Linked DNA regions of Anolis sagrei. The protein of the gene in region 1 purifies or fractionates together with the protein of each later gene. This does not show direct contact. Links are inferred from orthologs where the notes say so. Each region holds a gene or a part of one and is shown on either strand. Other genes may lie near its edges.

Region 1 (6,999 bases):
CCGAGAGCAGGGCCTCCCCGGAAGATCTTAAATGAACCCAAGTGTTCACTTCGGTCATCTGGAGAGGCCCTGCTCGTGATCCCGCCTGTGTCGCAAGCGCGTTTGGTAGGGACACGAGACAGGGCCTTTTCTGTGGTGGCCCACCGACTCTGGAACACCCTCACCAAAGATCTTAGACAGGCCCCTACATTGGCAGTCTTCAGAAAGAACTTGAAGACCTGGCTGTTCCGATGTGCCTTCCCAGAATAGGAAATCTCCAATACCAAGTCCCAGAAGCACTTTATTAGAACTAAAATTGCCGCACACTGCACTTACCCTATAAGCCTTATATACCACATGTCACATCAGCACTTTTAATTCTGTACCCATTACTCTGGCCCGGCCCAGTTTTATTGCATTTTGGTGTATTGTTTATTGTTTTGTTGTTTAATATTGCTTTAATTGTTTTTCATTTGCTTTAGGTTTTGTATTGTTATGTTGTGTATTGAGGCCTTGGCCTTTGTAAGCCGCATTGAGTCCTTCGGGAGATGCTAGTAAAGGTAAAGGTAGTCCCCTGACATTAAGTCCAGTCATGTCTGACTCTGGGGTGTGGTGCTCATCTCCATTTCTAAGCCGAAGAGCCAGCGTTGTCCGTAGACACCTACAAGATCATGTGGCCGGCATGACTGCATGGAGCGCCGTTACCTTCCCGCTGGAGCGGTACCTATTGATCTACTCACATTTGCATGTTTTCGAACTGCTAGGTTGGCAGAAGCTAGGGCTGACAGTGGAAGCTCACAACGCTCCCCGGAATCGAACATGCGACCTTTCGGTCAACAAGCTCGGCAGCTCAGTGCTTTAACCCACTGCGCCACCAGGGGCTCGGGAGATGCTAGCGGGGTACAAATAAAGTTAATAATGGGTTGTAGGTTTTTCTGGGCTATATGGCCATGTTCTGGAGGCAATTTTTCTCCTGACGCTTCGCCTGCATCTATGGCAAGCATCCTCAGAGGTAGTGAGGTCTGTTGGAGGTAGGAAAAATGGGTTTATAGATCTGTGGAATGACCAGGGTAATGTTTCAGCTGATCACCTTGATTTGCATTCAATGGCCTGGAATCACCTGGGGGGAATCTCTTGTTGAGAGTGATTTTATGTGCCTGTTTGTTTCCCCTCTGTTGTTTTGCTGTTGTAATTTTTGAGTTTTTTAATACTGGTAGCCAGATTTTGTTCATCTAATAATAATAATAATAAATAATAAACTCCAAGGTGGGACATAGAAGGAGATACGTTCACACAGGTACACTGGGCCGGAGCCGCAAAGGGTTTTGTAGGTCAAAACCAGCACTTTGAATTGTGTTTGGAACTGGATTGGCAGCCAGTGGAGCTGACATAACAGGGGGGGGGGGGTGTGCTCCCTGTATGATGCTCCGGTGAGTAATCTGGCTGCCGCCCGCTGGACTAATTGAAGTTTCTGAACAGTCTTCAAAGGCAACCCCACGTAGAGTGTGTTGCGGTAATCTATCCAGGATGTAACAAGAGTGTGGACCACCGTGGCCAGATCCGACTTCCCAAGGTACAGGCGCAGCTGGTGTACAAGTTTTAATTGTGCAAAAGCTCTCCTGGCCACTGCCGAGACCTGGGGTTCCAGGCTCAGCTATGAGTCCAGGATCACTCCCAAGCTGCGAAAGATCTTAGACAGGCCCCTACACTGGCAGTCTTCAGAATGAACTTGAAGACCTGGCTGTTCCGATCTGCCTTCCCAGAATAGGAAATCTCCAATACCAAGTCCCAGAAGCACTTTATTAAAACTAAGATTGTTGCACACCGCACACTGCACTTGCCCTATAATCCTACATACCTCCTGTCACATCAGCACTTTTAATCCTGTACCCATTACTCTGGCCCGGCCCAGTTTTATTGTGTCTTAGTGTATTGTTTATTGCTTGTTGTTTATATTGCTTTAATTGTTTTTAATTTGCCTTAGGTTTTGTACTGTTATGCTGTGTGTTGAGGCCTTGGCCTTTGTAAGTCGCATCGAGTCCTTCGAGAGATGCTAGCAGGGTACAAATAAAGTTTAATAATAATTATTATTAATAATAATAACCTGCGCCTTCAGGGGGAGTGGAACCCCGTCTAACACAGGCTGTAACCCTGTCTGCAGCCCGTAGGCTGTCAGGAATTGTGGGAATTGGAGTCCAAAACCCCTGGCCCAATCCGAGCCCAATTTAAGGTGCAGGTGCTCACCTACAAAGCCCTGAACGGTTTGGGACCACCCTACCTGCGTGACCGCATCGCTGTCTACGAACCCACACGCTCACTACGGTCATCTGGAGAGGCCCTGCTCGTGATCCTGCCTGCGTCGCAAGCGTGCTTGGTGGGGACACAAGACAGGGCCTTTTCTGTAGTGGCCCCCCGACTCTGGAACGCCCTCCCGAAAGATCTTAGACAAGCCCCTACGCTGGCAGTCTTCAGGAAGGAACTGAAAACCTGGCTGTTCCGATGTGCCTTTTCAGATTAGGAACCTCCAGTACCAAATCCTAGAAGCACCTTAGTAGAACCAAGATCACTGCACACCGCACTTATATTTAACCCAACATCCCTCCTGCCACATCAGCACTTTTAACCCTGTACCCCTATTTTGGCCGGCCCAGTTTTAATAGTGTTTTGTTGTATTGTCACTGTTATTGTTTTCCTGCTTAACTGTTTTTAATTTGCTTGGTTATTGTATTGTTGTATTGTGTTTTTTGAGGCTTTGGCCTGTGTAAGCCGCATCGAATCCCTCGGGAGATGCTATAATAATAATAATGATAATAATAAGGCCCAAGCTGGACCAGGCCTGAGGGAAATGCTACTTGAGGGCCGTGACTCAGCCCTTCCGCCTCTTTTCCCCCCCTGAGGCTCTCTCACCGGTTGAAATGGTCGACGACGCTGAGCAGCACCAGGGGGTGGACCACCACCCGCTCCACGGCCAGGTCCGGAGGCATCCTCGCGCCGCTTCCCGAGTCCGAACCGACAGGACTTCTTTTTTTGCGCCTCACTCGCCGGCGGTCGCCTTAATCCCAGCATGCACTGCGCCTCCAGGCGTCGCGCACGGCGTGAGTAAGGCAGCGCAGGGGCCGACGGGTAGAAGGTCCGCCCAAGCTGCGTTCCGCCATCTTGGAGACGTCAGAACTGTGCGCCTCCATCTTGAGAAGGGCGAGAGGCATTTTTGCCTTTTCCTCCCGACTCTCCTGGCAGAGGAGGCGCCATCTTGGGAAGGGCCAATGGAGGGGGCGGCCATTTTGAGAGGCCCAGTGGGCAGAGGGAGGGACAAAACACAAGAGGCCTTGCAAGGAACACTCTGTAAATACTTTCTGATTAGTTTGACTAGTTTATTTATTTATTTATTTATTTATTTATCTTACTTATATACCGCTGTTCTCAGCCCGAAGGCGACTCACAGCGGTTCACAACAAATACGAACAGCAAATATTCAGTGCTACAGTATAGAATGATTGACAACTGGGAAATAGAGGGAGAAAATGTGAAGGCCATGACAGACTTTGTATTTCTAGGTGCAAAGATTACTGCAGATGGAGACTGTGGCCAGGAAATCAGAAGACGCTTACTTCTTGGGAGGAGAGCAATGTCCAGTCTCGATAAAATAGTAAAGAGTAGAGACATCAGACTGGCAACCAAGATCCATTGCCTAGTCAAAGCCATGGTATTCCCTGTAGTCACCTACGGATGTGAGAGATGGACCTTAGGGAAGGCTGAGCGAAGGAAGATCGATGCTTTTGAGCTGTGGTGCTGGAGGAAAGCTCCGAGAGTGCCTTGGACTGCGAGAAGATCCAACCAGTCCATCCTCCAGGAAATAAAGCCCGGCTGCTCACTGGAAGGAAGGATACTAGAGACAAAGTTGAAGTACTTTGGCCACATCATGAGGAGACAGCAAAGCCTGGAGAAGACAATTATGCCGGGGAAAGTGGAAGGCAAAAGGAAGAGGGGCCGACCAAGGGCAAGATGGATGGACGGCATCCTTGAAGTGACTGGACTGACCTTGAAGGAGCTGGGGGTGGTGACGGCCGACAGGGAGCTCTGGCGTGGGCTGGTCCATGAGGTCACGAAGAGTCGGAGACAACTGAACGAATGAACAACAAAACAGTATAGAAACAGTTAACAACCTAACACATTACACAATTAATAAACAGTTACTACAGTACCCGTTCACTGTCGTCTCGTCATCAAAAACATGTTCCAGATTCGTCATCCATTGTTCCATTCCAGTGTTCATTAACCAATCATTGCACTAATTATTGGAACACCTGCTCAAACAGCCAGGTCTTCACTTTTTTGTAGAATACCATTAGAGATGGTGCTAGTCTAATGTCCGTAGGAAGGGCGTTCCACAGCCGAGGAGCCACCACCGAGAAGGCCCTATCTCTCGTCCCCGCCAGCCGAGCTTGAGAAGCAGGTGGGATCGAGAGCAGGGCCTCCCTGGAAGATCTCAAAGTCCTGGTGGGTTCATAGGCAGAGATGCGGTCAGATAGGTAGCTTGTTATCATTGTTATCATTGTTATCATAGTTATCATTTTATATTAATTAAGGATACAGGAAGGGGGGGGGCGACAAAAAACTAACATTAAGAGAATTCTGGGAGGAAGAAGTAAGAATAAAAACAACAAAGAATGGGAATGGATATGGAAAGCAAGACCATTAAAACATGTCAATTAGAATGAAAGGAAATGATTCTAAATTAATTTGAAAGTGGTATTTCACACCGAGAAGGCTAAACCTTATGAAGAGAAATTATCATGAAAAATGGGTTGCTGTGAGTTTTCTGGGCTGTATGACCATGTTCCAGCAAATATGGGAAACACAAGAATGGCCATCAGACTGGAAAAAATCGACTTATATCTCCATACCAAAAAAGGGAAATGCGAAAGACTGCTCAAACTTCCGTACAGTGGCCCTTATTTCTCATGCCAGTAAGGGAATGCTCAAGATCCTGCAAGGAAGACTCCAGCAATACATGGAGCAAGAGTTGCCAGACGTTCAAGCTGGGTTTAGAAAAGGCAGAGGAACCAGAGACCAGATTGCCAATATCCGCTGGATAATGGAGAAAGGCAGGGAGTTTCAGAAAAACATCTACTTCTGCTTCATTGACTACTCTAAAGCCTTTGACTGTGTGGATTATAATACATTATGGCAAGTTCTTGGTGGGATGGGCATACCAAGCCACCTTGTCTCTCTCCTGAAGAATCTGTATAAGGACCAAGGAGCAACAGTCAGAACTGACCATGGAACAACAGACTGGTTCAAGATTGGGAAAGGAGTATGGCAGGGTTGTATACTCTCCCCCAATCTATTTAACTTGCATACAGAACACATCATGCAATGTGCGGGGCTTGATGAATGCAAGGCTGGGGTGAAAATTGCTGGAAGAAACATTAACAACCTTAGATATGCAGATGACACCACTCTGATGGCCAAAAGTGAGGAGGAGCCGAGGAGCCTTCTAATCAAGGTGAAAGAAGAAAGCGCAAAAGCTGGGTTGCAGCTAAACGTCAAAAAACCCAAGATTATGGCAACAAGAATGATTGACAACTGGGAAATAGAGGGAGAAAATGTGGAGGCCGTGACAGACTTTGTATGTCTAGGTGCAAAGATTACGGCAGATGCAGACTGTGGCCAGGAAATCAGAAGACGCTTACTTCTTGAGAGGAGAGCAATGTCCAGTCTCGATAAAATAGTAAAGAGTAGAGACATCAGACTGGCAACAAAGATCCGCATAGTCAAAGCCATGGTATTCCCTGTAGTCACCTACGGATGTGAGAGCTGGACTTTAGGGAAGGCTGAGCGAAGGAAGATCGATGCTTCTGAACTGTGGTGTTGGAGAAAAGTTCTGAGAGTGCCTTGGACTGCGAGAAGATCCAACCAGTCCATCCTCCAGGAAATAAAGCCCGACTGCTCATTGGAGGGAAGGATACTAGAGACAAAGTTGAAGTACTTTGGCCACATCATGAGGAGACAGCAAAGCCTAGAGAAGACAATTATGCCGGGGAAAGTGGAAGGCAAAAGGAAGAGGGGCCGACCAAGGGCAAGATGGATGGACGGCATCCTTGAAGTGACTGGACTGACCTTGAAGGAGCTGGGAGTCGTGACGGCTGACAGGGAGCTCTGGCGTGGGCTGGTCCATGAGGTCACAAAGAGTCAGAGACGACTGAACGAATGAACAACATGACCATGTTCCAGAAGCATTCTCTCCTGATGTTTCACCCACATCTACAAGAAGCACTGCCTGACCTACAAGAAGCACTGCCTGAACATCAAGCAAAAAGTGAGCGCTAGAAATAATATACGAAAGCTGACTGGCACAACCTGGGGATCACAACCAGACAAAGTGAAGATATCTGCCCTTGCGCTGTGCTACTCTGCTGCTGAGTACGCATGCCCAGTGTGGAACACATCTCACCACGCTAAAACAGTGGATGTGGCTCTTAATGAGACATGCCGCATTATCACGGGGTGTCTGCGCCCTCCACCACTGGCTGAAATTACACTGCTTAGCCGATATTGCACCACCTGTCATCCGCTGGGAAGTAGCAGCCAATAGTGAAAGGACCAAGGCAGAGATATCTCCAACTCATCCCCTGTTTGGGTATCAGCCAGCACGTCAACGACTTAAATCTAAAAATAGTTTTCTAAGATCTACAGAGACACTTGCTGGAACACCCCAGCAAGTGAGAGTCCAAAAGTGGCAGGCTCAAACCCAGCACCTCAATTAATGGCTGATACCAAATGAGAGACTCCCCCCTGGGCACACAGAAGACTGGGCGACTTGGAAGGCGCTGAACAGACTGCGCTCTGGCACCATGAGATGCAGAACCAACCTTCAGAAATGGGGCCACAAAGTGGAATCCTCGGCATGCGAGTGTGGAGAAGAGCAAACCACTGACCATCTGCTGCAATGCACCCTGAACCCCGCCACATGCACAATGGAGGACCTTCTTGCACCAACACTAGAGGCACTCCAAGTGG
Region 2 (7,397 bases), on another chromosome or scaffold:
TGTTGTGAGTTTTTCGAGATGTATGGCCATGTTCCATGAGCATTCTCTCCTGATGTTTCGCCTCCATCTATGGTAGGCATCCTAAGAGGTTGTGAGGTCTGTTGGAAACTACGATGCCTACCATAGATGCAGACGAAATGTCAGGAGAGAATGCTCATGGAACATAGAATCATAAAATCAAAGAGTTGGAAGAAGTTCTTCCTCATGTTCAGATGGAATCTCCTCTCTTGTAGTTTGAAGCCATTGTTCCGCGTCCTAGTCTCCAGGGAAGCAGAAAACAAGCTTGCTCCCTCCTCCCTGTGGTTTCCTCTCACATGGCCATACAGCCCAAAAAACTCACAACAATCCAGTGATTCTGGCCATGAAAACCTTCAACAATACAATGGCTTCAAACTACAAGAGAGGAGATTCCATCTGAACATGAGGAAGAACTTCCCGACTGTGAGAGCCATTCAGCAGTGGAACTCTCTGCCCCGGAGTGTGGTGGAGGCTCCTTCTTTGGAAGCTTTTAAACAGAGGCTGGATGGCCATCTGTCAGGGGTGCTTTGAATGCAATATTCCTGCTTCTTGGCAGAATGGGGTTGGACTGGATTCTATGATTCTAATATAATAAAACATTATGTGTATACCGCCGTATCTCCACAAAGGGACTCACACAAAGGGTGGTTTCCAACATATAAGGCAAACATTCAGACATGCAAGGAAGGCTCTCCTCTCATGGTCTTGAGCAATAAAGCAATTAAGAGTATTTTGAAGGAATTTAACAATAATAGGTAAGCAGCACACTAGCACTGTAAGCAATCCCAAGAAGCAGAACAACAGAAAACAATATTTTATCCATTGGATGCAGGGCAACCAACCCATTAACCAATCCAAAGAGGGAACTTGTCCCTTCACTATTGTGCTGTATTATCTTTTTGCAAATTTAAGAGGTACACTGAATTTCAACAAGGTCTCCATACTGCTGCCTGGGAGTCTTATGGATTCTCCTCTGGAAACTTTTCAACAGAGACTCGATGACCATCTGCCAGGAGAGCTTGGATTGTGTCTTCCTGCCTGGCAGAAAGGGGTTGGACTGGATGACTCGGGGGGGGGGGGGGGGGTCCCTTCCAACTCTATGTGAAAGTACCTTTGTTATTTCGCTAACAGTGAAGCCTTCGGAGGCTGTGATTTCAGGAATTCCATCTGAGTTGATTCCCCGACAGGTCAACGTGCCATACAGAGTTGCTTTTCCTAGATCACAATAACACACAAAAGGAGGAAGAGGAGGAGATGAGTGAAGCACTATTAAGCAACCAAGGCTGCATCTATACTGCCATATAATCCATGTTTTGCATAGCCTGATTAAAGGCATAAGCATGACTGTTATACTATGGTTAAAAAACTATAAGAGTTGTTCAGTAGTAGAATAGACTGCCTTAGAAGTCGGTGAATTGATCATTCTTGAAGGCCCTTAAACCAACTTTGGATGGGCCTCTTTCAGGAGCACTGTGGCTATCCATTCTTGCATGGCAGAACAGGATTGGACTAGATGTTCCTTGCAGCCCCTTCCAGCTTCTTTGACTGCTCACCTGGGCTCCTGCAACTCAGCCAAGCCTCTTCCTCGTTCTTCCTACAATGGCAACAAAAGACCAGTATAAAGGATCACAATAGGACTCCTAGGGCTAAGGATAAACAAATCTTTCTGACACTATCATTATCATCATCATCATCCTGATTTTCTGCCATGGGTGGGATTCAAAGTGGCATACAGAGTTAAAAGCAGCAGAAATTACTAACATAAAATTCGACAAAAAGAAACAGACTACACAGTTCCTAACCCGTATAAAACAAATTCATAAATTACAACATTTCATAGAATCAAAGAGTTGGAAGAGACCTCCTGGGCCATCCAGTCCAACCCCTTTCTGCCAAGAAGTAGGAATATTGCATTCAAATCACCCCTGACAGGTGGCTATCCAGCCTCTGTTTAAAAGCTTCCAAAGAAGGAGCCTCCACCACACTCCGGGGCAGAGAGTTCCACTGCTGAATGGCTCTCACAGTCAGGAAGTTCTTCCTCATGTTCAGATGGAATCTCCTCTCTTGTAGTTTGAAGCCATTGTTCCATTGCGTCCTAGTCTCCAAGGAAGCGGAAAACAAGCTTGCTCCCTCCTCCTCCCTGTGGCTTCCTCTCACATATTTATAAATGGTTATCATATCTTCTCTCGGCCTTCTCTTCTTCAGGCTAAACATGCCCAGCTTCTTAAGCCGCTCCTCATAGGGCTTGTTCTCCAGACCCTTGATCATTTTAGTCGCCCTCCTCTGGACACATTCCAGCTTGTCAATATTTCTCTTCAATTGTGGTGCCCAGAATTGGACACAATAATCGGATGATAATATTATTTGTGGAGCCCCGGTGGCGCAGTGGGTTAAACCCCTGTGCCGGCAGGACTGAAGACCGACAGGTTGCAGGTTCGAATCCGGGGAGAGGTGGATGAGCTCCCTCTGTCAGCTCTAGCTCCTCATGCGGGGGACATGAGAGAAGCCTCCCACAAGGATGATAAAAACATCAAATCATCCGGGCGTCTCCTGGGCAACATCCTTGTAGACGGCCAATTCTCTCACACCAGAAGCGACTTGCAGTTTCTCAAGTCGCTCCTGGCACGACAAATATATATACAAGCCATTCAATTGAATGGCTTATTGGCCTATGCATTTTGACTAACCCTGTATATGTTTATATTATTTTAGACTGTGACCTAATTTCAAATGGCCCAGGATTATTATAAGGTTTGAGAGCTTTAAAGAACTGAAAAAAGAAAACGAATAATAATAAAAAGGAGGGTATAAAAGAGGCCGGAACCTTGTGTCAGGAGCACTCAATTCCGGGGGAAGGATAGAATCGACGCACACAGGGAGCATTTTAGGCAGAGCGCCCTCCCTGGGTGGGAGGGGCTTGTGACCAAGGGGCGTGGCTTACTCCCCTCCTGGCTCACCTCAGGACTTGGTCCCAGTCGCTCTGGATCCGGACCACGGCGGCAGCGGAGGAAAAGCCTTGCGAAGCGGCGTCCGCCATCTTGGTCACGGAAAGCCCCACCCCGGAAGTAGTCCCCGCAGTGTTTCCGCTCACGGCTGAGTCTAGAAGAAGGGAAGGTGAGAGCGGCTTTCAGCCAAATCAAGAAGGCCGAAAAGGGGCTCCTGTCCCTTTAAGGCTTAAAGGGACCGTGGCTCCCAAGCGCTCTTATTCCAGGACTTCATTTCCCAGAAGCCTCAGCTGATGCGGACAATAAGGAGGGATTCTGGGGGATGAAGTCCAAAAGCCCTGGAGGAGCAAAGATTGGGAAATAATGCTTTTAAATAGAAATGCTGATCAGTGTTTTGTCGAAGGCTTTCATGGCCGGATTTCACTGGGTTGCTGTGAGTTTTCCGGGCTGTCTGGCCATGTTCCAGAAGCATTCTCTCCTGACGTTTCGCCTGCATCTATAGATGCAGGCGAAACGTCAGGAGAGAATGCTTCTGGAACATGGCCAGACAGCCCGGAAAACTTACAAGCCAATGCTAATCAGATTTGTAGATGGCACAAAATTGGAATTATTATTACTAGTATTATATTGTATGCCTGCCATAGATGCAGGCGAAACGTCAGGAGAGAATGCTTCTGGAACATGGCCAGACAGCCCGGAAAACTTACAAGCCAATGCTAATCAGATTTGTAGATGGCACAAAATTGGAATTATTATTACTAGTATTATATTGTATGCCTGCCATAGATGCAGGCGAAACGTCAGGAGAGAATGCTTCTGGAACATGGCCGGACAGCCCAGAAAACTTACAAGCCAATGCTAATCAGATTTGTAGATGGCACAAAATTGGAATTATTTTTACTAGTATTATATTGTATTACATTAAAATATTATAAATATTATATGTATATAAAATATACCATAACCTGACAGATAGCTTGAATGTGCCTATATAAAGACAGAGTGAGTGAAGGAGAGAATTATTATTATCACACTATGTACAAAATTTGAAAACGTTTCTGTTCCTGGTTTGAACGTGTTATTATTTCCTGTTTAGTTGTGTGGCCCTTACTTTGAAATTAGTAATTCTACTCCAGAAACTTTTTTGAGGTTGAATTGGTTGAGATGCTATGAGATCCACTGGAAAACTAGAGCAAAATGTGCTGCTGCAGGATGTCCCTCCCGCAGAAACAAAGTTTTAGCAGTTTTATAAACTTTCTCCATGTTTTTATGATAGAACCAATTATGAAATTAGGAACAAAAATCATGTTACAGAGTGTGGTTGGTGATGATTAATAACTTTTATTGTGTCCTCCAGATTCCATAGTATGTCCGGTGCCAAGCCCCCTGGTCACAATTGGAGCCGGAAACCGAAAGAAGAGGAGGAAGGCGAGGAGGATGCTTTTGACAGCATGATTGCCCGCACCGGATGCGCCTCTTTCCACTACGCAGTGCAGGAGTGCATGGCGGAGCACCAAGACTGGAGGAAATGCCAGCCACAAGTGCAGGGCTTCAAGGAATGCATGAAGGAGCACCAGAAGAAGCAAGCGGAAGAGTATCGGAGGCGGCGGGAGATGCACCAGGCCCCCGGCTGAAGAGACATTCTTTCGCAAGGCACCAGAAACATGTGCCTATTTCAAACAGAGACTTGTGGGGCCTAATCCTGGCAAAATGTGCACTCTTTTTCTATCATGCATACCATTATACAATATTTGATTCCAAAAGGAGCAATAGGATATATTCTCTTGCACAATAAACAAACATGAAAGTAGTATTTTCTTGCTTTTCTTTATGCAATACACTAGGCATTGGCAAACTTTGGCCCATCCGGTGTTTTGGACTTCAACTCACAGAGTTCCTAACAGCTGTATGTAATTTTGTTGTATATGTTCACTTGATGTAGTTTTGTTGTAAGTTGTAGAGCAGTGGTTCTCAACCTTCCTAACACTGCGACCCCTTTGTATAGTTCCTCATGTTGTGATGACCCCCAACCCTAAAATTATTTTTGTTGCTACTTCATAACTGGAATTTTGCTATTGTTATGAATTGTCATGTAAATATCTGACAGGTGAATGTATTTTCATTCTCTGGACCTTGGGAGTTGTAGTTGCTGGGATTTATAGTTCACCTACAATCAAAGAACATTCTGAACTACACCAGAGATGGAATTGACCCAATCTTGGCACACAGAACGCCCATGACCAGCAAAAAAATAATGAAAGGGTTAGGTGAGCATTGGCCTTGAGTTTGGGAGTTGTAGTTCACCTATCTCCAGAAAGCACTGTGGACTCAAACAATGATAGATCTGGACTAAACTTGGCACGAATACTCAATATGCCCAAATGTGAACTCTGTTGGGAGTTTGGGGAAAATAGACCTTGACATTTGGGAGTTGTAATTGCTGGGATTTATAGTTCACCTACAATCAGAGAGCATTCTGAACCCCACCAACGATAGAATTGGGCCAGACTTCCCACACAGAACTTGCATGACCAGCAGAAAATACTGTGTATCCTGATGATCTTTGGCAACCCCTCCAACACCCCATCGCAACCCCCCCCAGGGGTCCCGACCCCCAGGTTGAGAAACACTGTTGTAGTGGTTAGTTAGCTGCTTAGTTTTAGCTAAATCTAATTATTATCCTATGACCAACAGAAAATACTGGAGAAGTTTGGGTGAAATACATATTGACATTTGAGAGTTGCAGTTGCTTGGAGTTATAGTTCCCCTGCCATTAAAGAGCATTCTGAACTCCAACAACCATGGAATTGAACCAAACCTGGCATACAGAACTCCCATGACCAACAGAAAATATTGGGGAAAATATAAATACCTTGACATTTGGGAGTTGCAGTTGCTTGGAGCATTCTGGAGGGGCCCGGGTCTGGCGGGGAGGCTCACGCCATTGCTGAGCCCAGCAGGCAGTGAGAGCCTGGCAATGGAGGTTCCACCACGTGGCCTAGCCTTTTAAGGAGCCTTCGTCTGGCTCGGGGCCCCACCAGCCAGCAAACGGAGAGAGCCAGGCAAGGGAGGCTTCGCACAAGGCCAGGCCTTGTGTGAAGCCCTTGCCTGGCTCGTGGCCGTGCTGGCTTGGCATGTGGTGAAAGACAGGTGAAGGATGCTCCGCACAAGGCCAGGCCTTAGAATCATAGAATCAAAGAGTTGGAAGAGACCTCCTGGGCCATCCAGTCCAACCCCATTCTGCCAAGAAGCAGGAATATTGCATTCAAATCACCCCTGACAGATGACCATCCAGCCCCTGTTTAAAAGCTTCCAAAGAAGGAGCCTCCACCACACTCCGGGGCAGAGAGTTCCACTGCTGAACGGCTCTCCCAGTCAGGAAGTTCTTCCTAATGTTCAGTTGGAATCTCCTCTCTTGTAGTTTGAAGCCATTGTTCCATTGCGTCCTAGTCTCCAAGGAAGCAGAAAACAAGCTTGCTCCCTCCTCCCTGTGGCTTCCTCTCACATATTTATACATGGATATCATATCTCCTCTCAGCCTTCTCTTCTTCAGGCTAAACATGCCCAGCTCCTTAAGCCGCTCCTCATAGGACTTGTTCTCCAGACCCTTGATCATTTTAGTCGCCCTCCTCTGGACACATTCCAGCTTGTCAATATCTCTCTTGAATTGTGGTGCCCAGAATTGGACACAATATTCCAGGTGTGGTCTAACCAAAGCAGAATAGAGGGGTAGTGTGACTTCCCTAGATCTAGACACTAGGCTCCTATTGATGCAGGCCAAAATCCCATTGGCTTTTTTTGCCGCCACATCACATTCCTGGCTCATGTTTAACTTGTTGTCCACGAGGACTCCAAGATCTTTTTCACACGTACTGCTCTCGAGCCAGGCATTGTCCCCCATTCTGTATCTTTGCATTTTGTTTTTTCTGCCTAAGTGGAGTATCTTGCATTTGTCCCTGTTGAACTTCATTTTGTTAGTTTTGGCCCATCTCTCTAATCTGTCAAGATCGTTTTGAATTCTGTTCCTGTGCCTTGTGTGGAGCCTTCGCCTTGCTCGCACCCCTGTCGGCCGGCACGCAGCAAAAGCCATCAAGGGAGGCGGCCAGTTTGAGCAGGTGAAGGGGGTGCGGCCAAAGGAGATAGCTTTATGACCCCTCCTAAATGGCCAAATGACCCCCCTGGTGGTCGCGACCCCCAGGTTGAGAACGGCTGAGCTGTAAATATTAGTAAGCGGGGCAAACTGATGCCGAATGATGGGAGTTGTACTTCACTCATATCCTTGCACACTTTGCAGTGGGTCCATTCATAAAACCCAAAGCCAAATAATGACCAGTTCTAAAGTTTATCTTTACAAAAGCCCAATCTGGGCATCGCCAGGTACATAAGCTAGTCTATATAAATAAAAATGTAATGTTTGTTTGTGGGATTAACAGA

Evidence for each region. The genes of interacting proteins can lie anywhere in the genome.
Region 2: the proteins of PSMD7 (region 1) and PAAF1 purify together in Homo sapiens (affinity purification with mass spectrometry; 5 studies listed by BioGRID and IntAct, counting the BioPlex papers as one, with this or other methods). This does not show direct contact. The link is inferred for Anolis sagrei from reciprocal best matches to the Homo sapiens genes PSMD7 and PAAF1.

What each region holds. Positions count from the first base shown.
Region 1 is NC_090028.1:28,959,031-28,966,029, forward strand, and holds the start of PSMD7 (26S proteasome non-ATPase regulatory subunit 7), read right to left. Parts: upstream 3,068-6,999; 5' UTR 2,964-3,067; coding exon 2,887-2,963; intron 1-2,886.
Region 2 is NC_090023.1:5,724,525-5,731,921, forward strand, and holds the start of PAAF1 (proteasomal ATPase-associated factor 1), read right to left. Parts: upstream 3,060-7,397; 5' UTR 3,056-3,059; coding exon 2,976-3,055; intron 1,613-2,975; coding exon 1,572-1,612; intron 1,234-1,571; coding exon 1,130-1,233; intron 1-1,129. Other genes in the region: COA4 (cytochrome c oxidase assembly factor 4 homolog, mitochondrial), read left to right, coding at 4,331-4,597. UniProt on the Homo sapiens protein: Inhibits proteasome 26S assembly and proteolytic activity by impairing the association of the 19S regulatory complex with the 20S core.